Caenorhabditis elegans: one gene and its partners. The protein of the gene in region 4 interacts with the protein of the main gene of each other region in a pairwise test. Each region holds a gene or a part of one and is shown on either strand. Other genes may lie near its edges. The genes, in order: cbpl-1, emg-1, snn-1 and rimb-1.

Evidence for each region.
Region 1: the proteins of rimb-1 (region 4) and cbpl-1 interact in a two-hybrid assay, tested with the Caenorhabditis elegans proteins (one large-scale study listed by BioGRID).
Region 2: the proteins of rimb-1 (region 4) and emg-1 interact in a two-hybrid assay, tested with the Caenorhabditis elegans proteins (one large-scale study listed by BioGRID).
Region 3: the proteins of rimb-1 (region 4) and snn-1 interact in a two-hybrid assay, tested with the Caenorhabditis elegans proteins (one large-scale study listed by BioGRID).

What each region holds. Positions count from the first base shown.
Region 1 is NC_003282.8:7,902,162-7,907,642, reverse strand, and holds cbpl-1 (Cortactin-binding protein-2 N-terminal domain-containing protein), read right to left. Parts: upstream 3,904-5,481; 5' UTR 3,867-3,903; coding exon 3,813-3,866; intron 3,623-3,812; coding exon 3,260-3,622; intron 3,205-3,259; coding exon 3,131-3,204; intron 3,045-3,130; coding exon 2,776-3,044; intron 2,729-2,775; coding exon 2,499-2,728; intron 2,218-2,498; coding exon 1,994-2,217; intron 1,903-1,993; coding exon 1,715-1,902; intron 1,609-1,714; coding exon 1,447-1,608; intron 861-1,446; coding exon 766-860; 3' UTR 548-765; downstream 1-547. Other genes in the region: npp-27 (C3HC-type domain-containing protein), read left to right, coding at 1-14; arp-11 (Actin-related protein 10), read left to right, coding at 5,372-5,481.
Region 2 is NC_003281.10:10,647,561-10,651,412, reverse strand, and holds emg-1 (Ribosomal RNA small subunit methyltransferase nep-1), read right to left. Parts: upstream 1,895-3,852; coding exon 1,528-1,894; intron 1,191-1,527; coding exon 862-1,190; 3' UTR 505-861; downstream 1-504. Other genes in the region: orc-4 (ORC (Origin Recognition Complex) subunit), read right to left, coding at 2,600-2,702, 2,755-2,896, 3,122-3,235, 3,627-3,795.
Region 3 is NC_003282.8:1,812,080-1,816,711, reverse strand, and holds the start of snn-1 (ATP-grasp domain-containing protein), read left to right. Parts: upstream 1-1,612; 5' UTR 1,613-1,615; coding exon 1,616-1,743; intron 1,744-2,773; coding exon 2,774-2,845; intron 2,846-4,632.
Region 4 is NC_003281.10:1,786,677-1,791,332, reverse strand, and holds the start of rimb-1 (Variant SH3 domain protein), read right to left. Parts: upstream 3,001-4,656; 5' UTR 2,928-3,000; intron 2,297-2,927; 5' UTR 2,250-2,296; coding exon 1,879-2,249; intron 545-1,878; coding exon 415-544; intron 244-414; coding exon 171-243; intron 1-170.

The DNA of each region.
Region 1 (5,481 bases), on a different chromosome or scaffold from region 4:
CAAATTATATTTGATGCTTTTTTCCAATTTTCTTTCGTGTTTTGTCCCGCGACATCTTCATCCAGTGCCTCTTATGAATCGTCTAGTTCTTTCTTATTTTTTGCCTTATTTTCAGTTGGCTCCAACCCATCCAACCAGTCATCTCACTCTTTTTGCACTTTCCAGGGCCCCAAATCTTTTTCGATCACATTTTTTTCTTTTGCCTCACATTCGGAACACTTTGATTTTAATATAATAGTTTAAAGAATGATATTCTTGACAAATTCGCATCCATCAATATTAGTAGAACATGCTCATCATGAAATACCCCTTTTCCTTATTGGAAAATCGACCATAGACGGGTCCATATCGTCTTTTCATTCTATTTCCCCCTCCTCATTTGTGCCCTACTTGTACTATTCATTCGTGAAAATAGACTTTGTTTTTTTAAAACGAAAATATTACAAGTCCTCGCTCGTTCCTCTACCACTAGGCTTCAATCATTTCACGGATCTTTTCTGACTTTTATAAACTAGATTTCGTCTTTTTTTTAAATGAACAATATATCTCGAATTTAATATTTTCATTATACGTGCAATATTTAATTTGATCTGATTTTACACGAAATGAAAACTATAAACAAACAAGTAAGAAAATGATGAAAAGTGCGATAAAACATTGTAAGAAAATTGAGCAAAAACTGAAAGAATGAGAGAATCGTAATACCCATGAATGTTTGTTAGGTAGAAGTGCAGATAGGTAAGTTAAGATTTTGAATATAAAATATCATTTCGATGATCCAAACGCTTTTGCGAGAATTCCGTTCCGCTTTACAGTTCCAGAAAGTTTTCGTTCACTTGCCACGTTTGACGAAGGTCCGGCTGAAAAAAGAAACATATTAAAACAGAATAAGTAATGTAGGAGTTAAGAAATGTAGATATTAAAATTTATTTTTATTCATTTTCGTATTATCCGGATGCGAAATTTTCAGATTTTCGCGCTAAAAATACGGTCCCGGTCTCGAAACGAAAACTGTCTGCTAAAAAAGGAGGGTATGCTCTTTTAGCGAGTACTGTGAGTTCAAACTTGTGTGGCTGCGGAATTTTCATAGATTTTTCATAGGGTTCCGATAAAAATAAACTTATTAAAAAACCAGTTTTTAAAACACATAAATTTTAACAAATCTAGAAAAAAACGTTTGAAGAACCGATGAAACTCCCGCAGAAAGTTTAAAACTGCAGTAGTTTTTAAAGTCAGACACAATTTGCATTCATATTCCACCTACAAAGACTGAATGATTTTGTTTTCTAAATGGAAATTTCCCAATACCGAAAACCAAAAACAATACTCTTGAGCGCAAAACTACAAGTGATTGCATAGTTACTACTGTCTTTCAGCTCTTTCAAGGTAACTGCCATCTTGAAAAAAAAAACGAGAAAACACAAGTCTATAACTACAAAAACATGCCAATTCTAGTGCTAACGACTCCCGTCGTAGATGTGTGCATTCCACCGTTCATCGTGCTTCTACGGATTGGAGCTCCTGGTGGATTGTTATTTGCTTCTCTCGGAAGACTTGAACTCCGTTTGGCCATGGCAGTTGAATATGCGGGGGGACTGGCGGTAACAACTGAAGAATGACATAACTACGAAAAGACTAACACAATAATATAAAGCCTTGCCAAATTAAATAAGAATGTGCAGAAAGTTTTGAAAAATCAAAGAAAAAAACGTACCATTCATAGATTGTATGGCAGCCTCCAGCTGTTCGAGATCAGGCGACAGTGGCATCACAGCAGATGTATTTGTTATAACTGAGGTAGTTGGCATTGTAGTAGTTGCTGCGGACTGAGGGCGTCGGACTGCTGTGGAGGAAACACCCATAACTGGTGTCTTTTTCACTGGCGAACTCATTGTGCGAGGTCTGAAAGTTTTCATGGTACTGTAATTTGTTTGAGTTTGGCAGATTGCAGTGACATAGCAATATCAAAATTGATTGTAGTCAGAAATCTTACACATTAGAACTAGATGCCGGCAAACTTCCAATACTCATTCGAGGGACCGGTGTTGTTACAGCTGGAGGTGGAGCTCTTGGAAGTCGACTCTTTTCAGTTGGAAATGTTGCTGAATTTGGAAGACGAGCTACAGGAGGAGGAGCTGGCTGTTGTCTATTAACTGCTGGTTTTGCACCTCGATTCGCCATTATTAGGGATCCTGTGTCGGGTGGAAGTTGAGGTAGCTGCAATAACATAAAATATGAAATGCGGAAATTCCATAACTTGTTTTGAGAGCTAAATTTTGCTAATCATGAGTGCAATCAACTATGTGAAGGTTGTCTTATTATGTTCAACTGATAAAAGAAAATGCAGATGGGAAATATCATGTAATAAGTAAAAAGTTACAACTTTTTTGCATTTGTCAAGAGCTAATTTAAAACAATTCTTTTGACATTTAGAGACATCGATAAACCAAATTTCTATGACCGTTTCAGGAAAATTGAAAATTTGAAACAAAACTCACTACATTCCCAGGCTTATCAATTGACATTTTTGCTCCAGTTAACGTCAGATTCCGTCGAAGCATCTGAAGATCGGCTTCTTGTCCACGAACTGTTTCTCGAAGGCTCAGATTTTCAGTTTTCACCATTTTCTGAGTTTTTGTGAGCGATTCCCGTTCTGCTCGTAAAAACGTGACTTCTTTTTTCAGCTCCTCAATAAGCTCGCGTTCACTTAACGCTGATGATGGACCAGCTGAAAGTTTTATTGAACTAAAAAAACTTATTTTGCAGTTAACTCACGTTTGGTAGGATCATTTTGATTTTGAAGCATAATTTGTTCGGCTTTCACTCTTAATTCGTGCATTTTTAAAAGCATTTGTTTGCGTTCTTGTATCAAATACAAAACGATTGATTCGTGACGTTTTTTCTCATTTCCAAGTGTCATTTCCATTTTATCCTTTGCGATTTCGGCTTTGCGTTTCTCCTCAATATGAAATTCAATTTGTTGTTGAAGTTGATTTCGTTCTTTTTCCAAGTGAGCGACCAAATCATCTCCTTGTTTCGCGTACCTAAAGATTTGTTCTAAATTTTAGGCGTATGAGTCGAGTTATAATGTTTATTAAGGTATTTTCTTATTTCGTAATATATAACTCACCTTATTTTAGCTTCTCTATCCGCCTCCAACTTTTTCACGAGTTTATATTGCTTCTTCTCCAGCGCAACCAACAGCTGAAAACTTTTTTGATTGGTGTAAATAGAGGGAGCTGCACAAAAATTTAATTACCACAGCCGCATTTCTTTGCGATTGCTTTTGCACTGCCATCATCTTATCCAACTGATCCACTTGTGACTCGTACATTTGAACAATCTTCTCTTCATCAATCTGTTCGCCAGTAATTGCCGAATCTCGTCGCAACGCAGCAAATGGATCGTTCATATTTAGTTTTCCATATTTAGCTTCGGATAGTAGAATTTTCGTTCTTTCACGTTTCAGATGATCAATGACATCTTCTCTTGCTTGAACTTCACCTTCCATGAACGAGAGCAATTTCATCAGTTCATCACTTGAGAAATCGTTAACCCCCTGCTCTTCGGGAAGATTGTCATATTCGGGCTGAACCTTTCGAATAGACGGAAGTACCAATTTCTGAACATTGTAGAAGTTTTTGGTTAATTACTGATAAATTATATATTTTCAAAACTTTGGGTGTGGCTCAATCACTCGGAAAATGAGCGTTAATTTGCAATCTTAGAATAATTTGAGACTGTGAATATTAAAAATTAGAGTATACAAACTTTGCTTACAATTTTATGTTCCTTGTGGAATTAAAACTCACTTTTGATGTTGATTGAAAAGTTGGATCAAAACTGTCATCGAGTAAATTTGGCATCGTGAAAGAAACACGGCAAACGCCGTGAAGCAGAAGTCTGGAAAAATTATTTTTGAAACGTTTTCGAAATTTCTGGAGAAAAAAACACGAAGTCGATGCAGAAGAAGAAAAAGCAGACGTTGAACGTGGATAAACTGAAGAACTAGAGACCGAGGGATATAGAGAAAGGGATTCAAGTGTGTAACTTCGTGTGCTTCTATTTCACAGTGATTGCTTGAAGAGGTGGAGACGCAGACGAAATGTTGTCATTCCCTATGCCTTGCGACCGGGCTCTCACATGTCGAGAGCAGGGCTCTACTGGCTCCGCTCCAAGTGATGACACTTGGTTCGTTTTGAACGATATCTATTGCAAGGAACTTTTATGTTAAGAGAGAAGATCCGTTCGAATAACGATATAGCAAAAAGTTCAAATGAACTTTGTAAAGGTGACCTACACAATCAGATGTTATCGAGAAAAATCTAAACATCTTGTTCAGCCATTTTAACTGGGTTGTTTTCACCATGAAAAAACACGGTGGTGATGCTGAGCTTAAGTACACTGTTTGTTGAAGATGACCAGCAACGAAAAAAGCAAACAAGGCGGAGGAGAATGTTTGCCAGAGTCTGGTAGTTTTTCTAGTAAGAATCCATAATTGCAAAAAAGGAAATCATATCCCAAATAGTTGAATATTGAAAGACGCAAATTTTATATCTCCAAAATTTAGGATTCCTAAACGAGTCAAACATTTTTTCTATTTAGCCTTCCAGATATTGAAAATAATAAACAGGAATTTTCCTCAAATCTGGATGAAGATCGATGGTTATTTTGAAAAATTAGTACGCAAAAAGAGATTTCGAGTCAGAGAAATGGATACAACTAATCTAAACCTGCAATCGATGATGTCTCTCTCATTAAAAATCAAAGTTAACCTATTTTAGTTCACTATCAAGCAACAAATCCTTTAATAAAAAGATTACTGTAATTACGCGAAATGATAAAAACTTATAAAAAGTGATAAAATAATTATTTAAACTGGCGGTAAACGAGAAAGCGATAAGAAAATGTCTGGTGACGTCACTCAGAGTCGCAAAAACTTTGCGCGTAATATACTGCGCGCGGTACGCAATAGAAGATACATGGTGTTTGCACACGTATACGGTAAGCGCTCAATTGAGAACGACTTTTTTGTTTTAATGTTTTATCAAGATTTTACTTTAATTAGACGAATCAATCATTATTTATTGTGCCACATTCGTAATTACTCCTTTCTTTTTAAGATTAAATCATCTTAAAATCAATATTGTAGTGTTCAAACTGGCATCAACTGCTCAATCAACGTTGGAGTCGCTGAAGGCGGCTCGACGGAGTTCGTCGGGAGTTTCAAATCAATCAATCTCGCTTTCATCGACAACTTTATCTCAAGCTATCAGTTCAATCGATAATGGAAAAAGTGCAGTTGTGGTTGAGATTGGAAGCAAGTTAACGAAGTTTGAGTTCCACTGTTCTTAAATTTCATAATTTTACTATGTTTAGAATTGGATGTGCCGGAGAAATAACACCTCGACATATTATCCGAACAGAATACGTCGATGATGAAGGAAAATTGATAACTTCTGATGAATTATTAGCTCTAAA
Region 2 (3,852 bases), 8.9 Mb from region 4:
TACCTGGTCTCGAAGCGAAGATTTTTTATGCCAAATATTGTGCGCCTTTAAAGAGTACTGTAATTTCCAAATTTCATTTCTGCAGAATTTTCCTTAATTTGCCATAGTTTTTATGATAAAAAGTAAAAAAAAAAGTTTAAAATGTCAGAAATTCTATCAGAACTGGAGAGAAAATATGAAAATTGTTTTTTTTTTTCAAATTTTTTTACAGTTTTTCTCCAGTTATGTTGAAATTTATAATATTTTACAGTTTTCTTGTATTTTTTAATTTTTTATTTGAGTTTATCTTTTTTTTTTAATCGATAATTTATCGAAAAACTACAAAAAATCAATAAAAATTCCGCAACAACGAAAGTTTAAAACTACAGTACTCTTTAAAGGCGCACATCCTTCTGCAACTAAAAAAATTGTCGCTTCGATACCAGCTACCGTATTTTTAGCGAAAAAATCGCATTTTTCACGATTATTCTTCGATTTTGTCTGAAAAATTGGTAAAAACTGAAAAGTTAGGCTCCTGGACTTTTTTATTTAGAATTTTTCTGAAAAAAAAAAGTTTTTGCCGAATTTTATGCCAAATATTGTAAAATTTTAAAACGTTTTAAATTACTACCTAATAAAACTGAAAAAATAAAAAAAAAAGAGAACTCTACGAAAGGAAAATCAAAGAAAAAACTAATTTTTTGGGTTTTTAGAATATTTGATTTTTTTAAAACAATTTCAGTGTAAAAGTAAGAAATAGACATTGAAATTTACAAAAAAACGGCATTTTTTTTCGAAAAAAAAAAGTGATTTTGCACTTTATAAGATGAAGATAGTAACAAAAACAGACAACAATAAAATGAAAAAACTGCAAAAAATCAATTAAATAATTCCCCAAATCTCCTCAAGTCCACTGGTCACTTTGGCACAAGTCAACGCTGCACTCAATGGATAATTGCTGATCTTGGTCTCAGAATCGTTGTAATCGACGACGATCTTTCCACGAGCAATTCCACCGATAATAAGGACCAGAGGCTCGTCGGTTTCCGGTGCAACAAGCTTATTAGCCATTGTTAGCTCAGGTACATTGAACGACATGAGCATCTTACGGGATCCCACTGGAAGATGGTTCGACACTGGATTCTTCACTACTGACATCAGCTTTTGAGTGGTTTCGGCGGCTCGAATGGAGAGTTTGTGCAGGAGTTGGACTGAAAATATGGAAAATAGAAAATAGGGGGATTTTGCATAAAAATACCTAATTGCAAGAAAAGTCACAAAAAATCCAATAAAAAGTATTTTAAAGCATGTTTTTGAAAATTGGATTTTTGTGCTCTTTTTTGTGAATTTTTTTTTGATTTTCAGACTATTTTGGGGTATTTTGAATCCGGGTATTTTTAAAAGGAAAAGGGTATTTTTAAAAATTTATGTTTAAATTTGATAAAAAATAATTTTTAAAAAACTCGAAAAATTGTCTTTTTTCTTATTTTACATACAAAAACACTTCAAAATATATTTTTTTCAATTTCCAATAAACCAAAAACTCACCCATAAGTCCACAGAATCGATCAAAAGTTCTTGGAATTCTGCACTGTGGTGAGACATCAACGAGCACATTCTTGCTCGTTCTAAAGAAGACACGAAGCTTTCCGGCTCTGTTAAGCGGACTATCAAGTAGATTCAACAAGCATTGATGTAGGATATCTGGCCGATAATCAGCCGGATCTTTTTTCTGTTTTCTCAGAAAATTCGCGTGTTTATCACTGCTCAAAATTGCGTATTCTCCACCGACTTTTGCAGTTTCAAGACTACATCCTTCCAGTACAACGTACAAAATCTTCTTGTCCTCCAATTGATTATCCGTCTTCATGCGCTTCGCATTTGGCGGTGCAACTGTATCGTACTCGTGGGACATCTGAAATTCGGAGAAATTAATTTTTTTTGTCATAAAGTAATTTTTTTAGGACCAAAAATCGAATTTTCAATAATTCTGATGAAAAAAAAATTATTTTCTGAATAATATTGTGATTTTTTATAGTTTAGCACAAATTTTAAATAAAAGCTGTGGGAACAACGATAGGTCGTTCTGTAAAATTTTCGAAAAAATGCCGCTTTTTTGGAAATAAAATTGAGTTTTTCGACTTTTGGAAAAATTTCTAATTTTCCATATCTATCAATATAGGAATATACATAATTTTTGATAAATTAAAAGTTTTCACTTCTTTTTTCGTTTTTCGATATTTTTTCGTCAAAAACACTGAAAAATTTCTGCGGAGAAAATGTAAGTCGAAAATCAAAAAACTCAAAAACTCAAAAACGAAAAAATTTGTAAATTTGAACGGTTTTTCAAAAATTTCAGTGAGTTCCTTTTTTTGTCGAATTTCCCCTAAAACATGAAAATTTAACTAAATATTTTATTTCGGGATTTTTGAATTAACGAAAAATGGTTTTATTTTATTTTTTCGATTTTTGAAGCTCCTGTAAAGATTTTTATAAAACAAGTTCAAAAAATAATATGATGGTTTTTAAACCGAAAATAATTCTCACAGAAAAAAAAACTCAACAAAAATATAAATATCGAGATCAATCTTCATTGCAAATAGTACAAAAAATATCAAAATTACTTCAAAATAGTCATAAAAAAGTCGGAAACAACTCGCGGGAGCTGCAACTTCGAGATCGAGTCCTCCACAATTTTATCATTGATATGAAGCCAAACTTTTCTGAAAAAAAAGAGGATTTGAGGTGAATTTTTCAGCTGAAAAAAAAACCCACCGAAACGAGGTATTTGTCACATTTGTGCTCTCGTCTGCCTTCAAAATTCCCATTTTAACGAGATGATCCAATTCTCGGAATACGTAGACATCACTGCTCACGTTCAGTGGAGGATAGTGTTGATTAACGAGTTTTTTGAATTCTGAAATTACGGAGAAAATAGATTTTTAAAAAATAAGCTTAAAATTTTCATGTTTTTTCTCATCAATATAATCGAAAATTAGATTTAAAAAAAATCATATTTTATGGTTAATTTTCTGAACATTTTCTTAATTTTTCGGAAATTCAAAAAATCGAAAAATTTTTCGTTTTTCAATTTTTAAAAATTCGAAAAATCGAAAATTCCGAGATAAATTTTAAAAAATACCTAGAAAAACGTTTCGATACGAAGTTTTTGGCGCCAAAAGTGGTCCATCTGACTCTTTATTCTGCACAAGTCTCCAGACACAAAGAAAAACGCATTGTGCTCGAACTGTTTGATCTGAAAATTTGAAAAATTTTTAGAATTTCACTGGAATTATTAAATTTTTGAGCCGAAAAAACAGTATATAATTAGTTTTTTCTAGATTTTACCGGATTTTTTTAATTTTTCAGAAAAATTTCAAAAGCTGTAAAGATTAAAATAGGTTTTGATTGAAAATCACGATTTTTGCATGATTTTTTACATTTTAAAGTTGTTTAAAATTTGAAATTTGTTCCGAAAAAAAAAGGTAAAAAATTACTTTATCAGCTCAATTTCCAGATTTGAAATCAGAATTTTTAATTCTTTGCGGAATTTCAAAAAGTGAACTTGAATTGTTCATTTTTTGTTTTCAAAATTAGAAAATCGTGGGTTTTTTCTGCCTTTTTCAAAGTTTTAGCAGAATTTCTACCTTTTAAAATCAACAATTTTCCATTATACGAGGGAGAAGTCGTCTCGACAATTTTACGAATCTGTTTGCTGATTTCCTCGGGTTTCCACGTGTCTTCTACGTCACAATAGTAACCGAAAAGCATCAGGAATTGCGCGGCCAATTGTTTCAGAACGACGTAGTGACTTGTCTGAGAATATGGACTTTAATGGGGGTTGAAAAGCCGAAAAATATGATTTTATTTGTT
Region 3 (4,632 bases), on a different chromosome or scaffold from region 4:
TGAGCTTCTCTAGACTTTTGCATTTTTAACATGAACCAATATGTAGATCCTATGCTAAAGTTTTTGTACCCAGAAATTTCTGACATTTTTTCAAATAAAATTTCACATTTTTCGGCGCAAAAATATAAAAAATTTTTGAAATTTAAAAAGTTCAAATTTTCGAGCTTTCTCTACATTTTCCAGAGGCTCGAAAAATTGTCTGCGCTCTCATCTACTAGTATTTTTTGGGTAATTCAGTTTTCACCCAAATGTAAATTTCACCCACTCTCCTTACGCCCGGCTCCATTTGATTTTGTTTCATGTTTCTCTCCGTCTCCATGTGCATTTTGGATGCGGCTTCTCCCCTTTTTTCGACGCAGAAAAGGGGGTATAACATTTCGACTTTACGGGATTATACGCTTTTTCGTCTCGCCTTCTTTCTTGTTTCACTTCAATGAATACAAGATTACCCACACATCTCTTGAAATTAAGAAATGTTTCGTTTTAAATTCTCCAAATAGCTTTAAATTTTGAGGAAAGTTCCTAGCTCTCAGATGTGCTCAGCGATCTTAAACCTAGTAATGTATATACTTTTCTGATTTTAAAATTTGAAAACCATGACTGAAAAGGCCCGAATAGTTTCTTTCGTGAGTTAGTCTTTTTTTTTCTTCCTTTTTTTTCCTATTTTTTCTTCAAATTTGATTAGACATCTTCCAGTGTCAAGCCATAATTAAAAAGTGACGTTTCTTTTTTTTTTTTTGAAAGTCTCTTCTTCTTTGAAAAAATTTTGAAATTTCTTCTTTTAAGCTCGAAATGCTCCAAATAAGTATTCACATTTTTCTTTAAAAAAAACTGTAGCAATGAGAGATTTCAAATAGTCCAAGTCCTGAATTTTTCGGTCTCGAGCTCGCGGAGCCCAGTGTCTTTCAGCTCTAAAAAGCACAAATTTGAATTTTTGAGGAAAATGAACACAAGTATCAGAATCAGCGTGTTTAGTGTTTTCAGATAATATTCATATTGTCCAGGTTCTGAAATTTCTGGGTTTTGGCTCGCGGAGCACCGGCAAGAGCCCGTTTCCAGAAAATCGACACTTTTTGGTGCTCCGCGAGCCCATTCCTCAAAAATTCAAAGTCTAGCCATGTTTATTCTTTTCTAAACCGCAAAATCTAGGGGAATTCAAAAATTCTAATCACACAGCCTAAAAGCTTAAACTAAAAATGTTAGGCCACCAACCTTGCCTCTAAACAATCTCAAAATTTCATCAAAAAGTTTGTGGGGCCCCTTAGGGGGACTGACGTTCTCGCTTTTCAAATTGATGCCCCTATTCCTCGCCACTTTCCTCCATCTTTTTTCTCTTTATCTCTAAGTTTCTCTCTGTGCTCTCTCTCTCTCTCTCTATTCACTTCCTTAGCTTCAACCCCTCCAGACACTTTCCCCTTTTCTCCTTCACCCACAAAATGTACATTTCATGGTTTTTTTTTTTGGTTTTTGAGTTGTTTCTAGTTATTTTTAACTCTAATTATGGGTTGAAAAGGTCTCTGGGGAAATTTTAAGAAAATTTGTGGCTTCTCTCTGACATTTTGCTCTTTTTCCCCCTTTTTTTGCTCACGAAAATCCAATTTTCCAGTTTCAGAAAATGAATTTCTTCAAGCGAAAATTCTCGTTTTCCGAGGATGAGGGTGAGCCAATGGATGACGTGAACTCGGGACCGCCGAGCTCTTTTTCATTTCAGTCGATTGCTAATAAGGTGTCTAATACGATAAGGTACGAAATTTTAAAATAAAATAAAAAATCTCAAATATTTGTGTGCTCCGTGAGCTCGGCCGGCTGGGAAGACTCCAGTTTAGAAAACTTTGAAAGTTTGAATTTGACACCCACATAGCTTGGTTTTTAAAAATTTTGAGTTTGGAGCTCCCGGAGCTCACAGAGCAGCCGATCCTCCAAATCTCTAAAATTCCAAACCTAGGCCGCCTTGAGCTTTTTAATCTGAAAATTCAAATGAAATTTTCAAAAACCTTTTTTTAATATATTTTTCCCAGTTTCCAGTCAATTTTGTCTGACAAAAATTTAAAAAAAGAGCTCAATATGCTTCATTTTCCAGATTTTTCAAATTCCAGTTCAGAATTGTTGTACAGCCTGCCAATAGCATCAATTTGACACCCATATTGCTTGGTTTAAAAAAATTTGATTCTGGAGCTCCCGGGCTCACAGAGCCGCTCATGCTTCAAATCTCTAAAGCTCCAAGCCTAGGCTTGTTTATACTTTTCTGAACAGGCTCGAACTTTTTTGTTTGAAAAATTGATTCTAAAAGATTCTTATCAGTTCAGATAATGCTCGCGGAGCACAGGAATGCTCCAAATCTCTTAATTCTAAACCTGGGCTTGTTTATACTTATCTGAACCACCTGATCTTTTCAAATTCCAAAATTTCACCAGATCATTTAAAAAGCTCAAATTAAAAGTTTTATTTCAAAAAATACACAAATTCTCAAGAAAATTTGTCATCCACTTCAAAAAAAAAAAAGAAAGAACCAAAAAACCCGCTAGCGAAAACATTCATTAAAATTGTAGTGTGCGGCTCTTTTGAGACTGCCAAAGATAAAAAAAAAATAAAATATAGTGTAAAATGAGAGAATCGTGGGAAATTTTCCTCAGAGAATTTCCTTCATTTTTCCCGAGAAAATGCAAATCTGGGTATCTCCATGGAAACCCGCACATTTTTTTTCTATATTCTGTTCTGCTGCCAAGATAACATGTGTTTAAATCACTTTGTCAGATATGTTCACTTATTTCAGTGCTCCAACGTCACCTGCCAAGTCTCGGGAATCACTTGCCGCTGCACTGGAGAGGTCACTCAATCATGATAGGTTTGTTAGCTGGAATTTTGCTTTAAAATTGTTCGAAACAAAAAATTAATAAAAAATTTGAGTTTGGCTCAAGAGAGAGCTTTCATTTGAGTATAATCATGACATGTTTTGATCAAATTTCAAAACTTAGCGATCCTGCCGCGAAAACCTGGGAATTTTCGTGATGGGACCCAATATTTTATGACAAATTTATAAGAATTGAACAATTTACAAACGCACATCAAAGATTTTTGCTTTAAAAAACCAATTTTTATTTATTTATTTATTTACCAGCCGTGGACCGCACCTTCGGCGCGGCCCCCGACTTCTGGGGCTGAAAATTAATTTTTTATGAAACTACCGTAACCCTACAGTATTCCTACCGTACCACTATTGTACCACTACAGTACCCCGACTATATCCCTACACTAACCCCCAACTCACTATCCCTCCAGAAGCTAAAACTTCGCAGACTACAAAGACTACATAGACTACAAACTATGGACAAACGGAATAAGCGCTTTATATATAGTAAATGATTTTGATTCAATTATTTGTATTAAAACATTGTAGGGGTCGAAACATGCGACATTGCTTGGGATTTCCTCAAGAGCTCATATTTTTTCGAAATTTTGGCAATTTGCCAAAACTTTGTCCGGAAATTTTGAAAAATCTAAAATTTTTTAGAGTTTTTTGATGTGATACTCGGTTGTCTTAAATCATTATAAGTGTATTAAAAAAAAAAAACAAAAAAAAATCCACTGACGCTACTCCATCTTTGAAAATTGGTCAGTTTTATTGATAATATATCATAAAAAATTTCACACCCGTAAAATTGCTCGAAATACAGCTTTTTGCAGACATTCGATTATTTTAAATATGTACAAGGCTAGGTAAATACTCTGGTAACATTTTGGAAGTTTTAATTTTTTTTGAAAAAATTATTTTACCATGCGAAAGGCTTACTCAGGTTTAGGCCTAGGCTTTGGTTTAGGCTTAGGCTTAGGCTTAGTCTTAAGCTTAGGCTTTCGCGTAGGGTTAGGCTTAGTCTTAAGCTTACTCTTAGGCTTAGGTTTAGACCTAGGCTAAAACTTATGCCTTGGCTTGGCGTCAGTGACGCTATTTAGGGTTAGGATTACAGCAGCACTGACGCTATTTAGGGTTAGGATTACAGCAGCACTGACGCTATTTAGGGTTAGGATTACAGCGTTTTTTTCATTTTTCAAAGGGTTCCCGTTGGCCGATCAAAGCGAAATTTAACACAGAGACGTATAGGCCACTAAGAAGCTTTCGTGTAAAATTTCAAATTGATTCCATCAAAACTCGCCGAGTTATGAAGCTTAAGGTGTTTTCAAAATGACCCTCAACTATTTTTTTAAATTTGAAAGTTTGGCGTTTTGTCAGTTTTCTGTCTAAGCTCACGAAAATTTAATGACAGGAGGACGGCAGTGAAATAAGTTTTCTTGTGAATTTTGAGCCAATTTCGATTTACAGGAGCCGAGATATTAAGCTTCAAAATCCAAAAAAAAATGACCCTCGCTCCGCCCCTTTTTGTCGACAAAAAGATTTCACTTTGAAAACGCGCGTGTAACTTGACGGTGGGTGGATGGATTTTGATGCGGTTTTTTGCTGTCTTTTCAAAAAGCTTGCCCTACCTCTGTATTCTTTTTTTCAGAAAGATTGGAGCTCATTGAGCCGAGATATTTTGAGTCAAACTCAAAAATCGCTATTTTCCGTCATTTTCGGGTGGTTTTAATTGAAGGAAAATTCGAATACTTGAGATTATTTCACGATTTTTTAGGGGTGTA
Region 4 (4,656 bases):
CATCGGAGCCTAGCCGATATGGGTGTTAAATTGAAGCTACTGGCAAGAAAAAATTGAATTATTAGTTTTCAAGAGCTTATCTCGAAAATTGGCTGAGTAGCGGCTCGATATTTGAAAATTTCGAAAAAAAAAAATTTTTTTTCGAGAATGTTTTAAAATTTTCAACTCACTCCTAGGCGTTTCGTTGTTCTTGATCTCTTGTACAGTAACTTTTGTGACGTCAGCTGGTGGGTAAGGGCAAACCTGAAAAATTTGAAAATTATATATTTTTGAAAAAATTAATTTAAAAAAATTTCAAAAAAAAAAAAATTCCAGAAAATTTTTTAAATTTTTTTTATTTCAAAATTGCTTTTCAAAACTGAATTTGAAAGAATTTTTAGCCAAATTTTCTTTAAAAATTCCTCAAAAACTTACAGAATCGGGTAGTGTTGAGTGATCCGGAGAGGAGAAGTCGTGTGTGATTGTCGAGAAATGTTGGGGTATTCGAAGCGGGAATGATGGTGATGGAGCCCGTGCATTTGCCAGGAGCACTGAATCCGGAACTCTGAAAAGATTTGGTTTTATTTTCTAAATTTTGGAGAAATAAAAAAATTTAGAAAAAAAAGTTTTTTAAATTTTTTTTTTTTTTGAAAATTATTCTTAAAATTATTTTCATTTTCCTTATTCAAAATATAAATTTTTTTCGTTTTATTAGAAATTCACCGCGTTGGGAGCTTCAAAATGACCCCAACACATGCCTATATCCTTTTAATTTTAAAATTTGGGTCCCGCCACGAAAAGCCCCAGGGAACTGTAGTTTTCGAGTTTTTCAGAATTATATTATTTTTGCCATATTTTTCAAATACTCACAATTGTTATACATTTTAATTCAAGTTAAAATCTCAAAAATGAGAAAAGTTATGGATTTTCGAAACTTTTCCGAAAAAATTTTCCAATGGAAAGTTCAAAATCTACCGTAACCCTGAGGATGCTGACAAAAAAGTTAAACTAATACAAAATTCAAATTTAGTTTTTTGAGACCTTTCATTTGACCCCCATCATGCCTAGGTTCTTGGTAAAATTGAAATTTTTTGAATTGTTGAGTCCCACCACGAAAATTTTCAAAATTGGCGGAGCCTGGGAATGTTGGCTGTCAAATTAAAGCGAATAGCGTGAAAAATTCGAAAATAATGGTAAAATAGAAAAAATCAAACTTTTTTTCGTGTTACAGAATTTTTAAATATTTTACAAAATTAAAAATTTTGATTTTTTTGAATCTTTTCGAAAATCCGTAACTTTGTCAATTTTTATGCTACTCAGCACAAATTTTTTACAGGGTATATGAAAAGTTTTCAAAAATTTATTAGAAATATAAAACTGCAAACTTTCCGTCTAAACTACAGTAGCCGGTGGAGTTTTCGTGGTGAGACCCGAATTTTCAAAGTATGGCGGATTACTATTTTGAAGCTGAGATTATGCTCATTCTGATTATTTACAGAAAACATGGTTAAAACAAAAATTAAAAAAAAAAAACTTTTTTGAACAAAAAAAATTTTTTTTCCTCAAAAATGATCGAATTTTCACATAAAACCTGCTCCAATGAACTCGTCTCGTTGAGACCTTTAAAATGACCCCCATATCGGCTAGGTTCCGTCATTTTTGAAAATTTTCGGATCCCGCCACGAAAACTACAGTACCCCTCCGTGGTGGGACCCGGAAATTTCAAAGTTGGCGGAATATAGCCAATATGGGGGTCATTTGAAAGCTCTGAACACAGAGAATTCGAATTTTGTATTTTCAATCTCAGACTCCGAATTTTAAATCTTTTTTCACGGGAAAAAGTGAGATTTCGCCCAAAAAAGTATAAAAAGCTCAATTTTTAAGCTTCAAAATGCTCACCTCTCTACATAATTTGATGGTACCAGTCCCTGACGTCCATCCAGCGTTTCCCCACAATAAAATCCATCCGAATCCATTTCCCCTTTCACCAGAACCACATCTCCCGGCTGAAGGCTCAGCTCGAGCTGTGGATTCTCGTTCGGCGAATCCCTTAACGGTAGATATTGAAAAAGGGCGCGAAAAACGCGAGAATTGGGTCTCGAACGGAGTTGCAGGAGCAACGCGTCACTCGTCGGTGGTACTGTAGACGCGGATGACGTCGTGGGACCCAGATGGTTGGTGAACGAGGTCGACGGGCCTGGCACCATGCCATAGGAGGATGCGGGGGGTGGTGGGGGCGGCGGACCGGGTCCCGACAGACCGCCCAGCATTCAGTTGGTGACTAGGTGGTCCGCCTTGTTGTAGGGACCCCACGAACCTGAAATTAATAATTTAAATTTTTGAAATTTTTTTTTTGGATTTTTTTTTGGATTTTTTTTTTGGATTTTTTTTTTTTTTAATTTCAAAAAAAATTAAAAACTCAATTTAAAGCTTTGTAACCTAAAAATTTGAATTTAGCCCTTCGAGACCTTTCATTTAACACCCATCTTGGCTAGGCCCCGACTATTTTAAAAATTTGGGTCCCGCCACGAAAAGTCCCGGGGTACTGTGTAGAATGTTAAATATATTTTTCTAAAGCTTTTCAAAGAATTACAAAATTTTCGAAACTAAATTCAGGTAGAAAAAATTAAAATTCGCAAAGTTATCGATTTTCGAAAATCTTCGAAAATCTTCGAAAATCCATATTTTTATTATTTTTTAAGATTTTTTCTCAATTTTTAGCTCAGATTGTGTCAAAATTATCAAAAAAAACTAGGAAAAATAAGACTAACCCAAATTCACCAAGACTACCAAACCCTACAAGTTTTCGTGGCGAGACCAAATTTTTTCATATTTATTAGAACCTAGGCAATATGGGGCTTATTTTGAAGCTCTCAGCGTGCTGAATTCAGATTTTCTAGTCCTGACACAGCATAATTGTCGACAACAAGAAAAACGGTCCAACCTACCGCCGAATGATGGTGTAGACGATTGATGGTTGTTGTTGGAAGAGGCCACGATGTTAGATCCCGGTGGGCGCCTGCAGGAATTTTTATTTTTATTTTTGGGGTAACTTGTTGGAGGGAAATCCACGGGTGAATAGAGAAAAAAATATTTGGGTCATAAATGGGCGGGGCCTAAATGGGCGGAGCTTAAAACTGGGCGGGTTTATAATGACACATTAAACATTGGAAAAAGAGATTTTTGAAAAATTATTACTCTATGAAACTGTAAATTTTTTTTTTGAACTTCAGGTAAATGGACAAAAAAAAATTAGTCAATAAAGGGGCGGAGTCTGGGTAAGAAAAGGGCGGAGCTTGCAAATTATTCAGACATTTCTATTTTAGGAAAAAAACTTTTCATACAAAAACCAACTAAAAATCGTTTGAAAGAGAAGCTTTTATTTTTTATTTTTTTTTACAAGAATTTTTCCAACAAAGGGGCGGAGTCAAAAAGTGGGCGGTGCTTGTAAACTGTTTAGAAATTTTCATCAATTTAGAAAAAAACTACTTCATTAAAAAAAAATTGTTTCAATTTGAATTTTTATTTTTATTTTTTTCAAGAACTTTTGCCAATAAGGGGGCGGAGTCAAAAAGTGGGCGGGGTCTGTGCGAGAAGTAGGCGGAGCTATATATATATATAGGTGGGGCTTTTGAGCAATTCAAAAAATTTTTATTAAATTTTTTTTTAATGTCGTTTGAATTTGAAGTTTTTTCTTCATTTTTACGAGTAGCCTAATAAACCGAATTTATTTTAAAACCAAAGAAAAATAAATGAGCACCCACATACGGGCAAAAAAGAGCACAAAAAGAGAAGAAGCTGGAGTGCAAGAGAGCCCTCCGCCCCGTAAAAAGTAGTGGGACTAGTCAATGGAGAAATAGAAGCAGAGACGGAGAAGAAGCGGGGGGACGGAGAGCACGTAAACTACTTTTATCGACTTCCACTCACAGACCACTTGTCTGAGAGCCCGATGTACTTGGCGAAATTTGCCGGGAAATTTGCCGAAAAATTGCCGAAATTTGGAAGTTTTTTGCCAGAAAAAGGTACAGCTAAACTAAAACTAAGATATCTCGAAAACTAAAAAAGGTATCAAAAAATTGTCAACATACAAAATGTGCATATTTTTGTGCTCTATATTTTGTTAGTTGACAATTTTTTGATAACTCTCACAAGAACAAAGTTATGGGGGTTTTAAAATAGAGGAGAGCAAGGAGAGACGCAGATTGCGAACTGAAACACCTAAATCTCAGCTGATAAGAAAGTTGTCAAAAATTTGTTAACTAACAAAACAATAAGCGCAAAATTCTACGTATTTTGTTAATTGGCGCCGACAGGGAAAAAAGTTACAACAAGTTTAAAAAAATTCGAAATTAAAAAAAAAAAAAAATTTTTTTGAAATTTTAATAAAAATTTTCAAATTGTAAGGAAAAGCTGTTGGATATTTTTGATTGGAAAAATAATGTTTAAAAGTACATATTACATGATTTGCGTACCGTGGGAAAGTTTGGAGCACAAAATTAATAAAAGAGGTTTTTTTTTTTAATATTTCATCTGAAAAAAGTTGCATTTTCAGACGGTGAAGCCTTTATTTAAGCTTAGATTATTAAAATTTAAGAAAAATGAAAAAATATTTGTGTACTAAAAATGCACTAAGACAGCTTTGAAATTGCTCCAAAATTCCAGAGAAAATAAATGTGA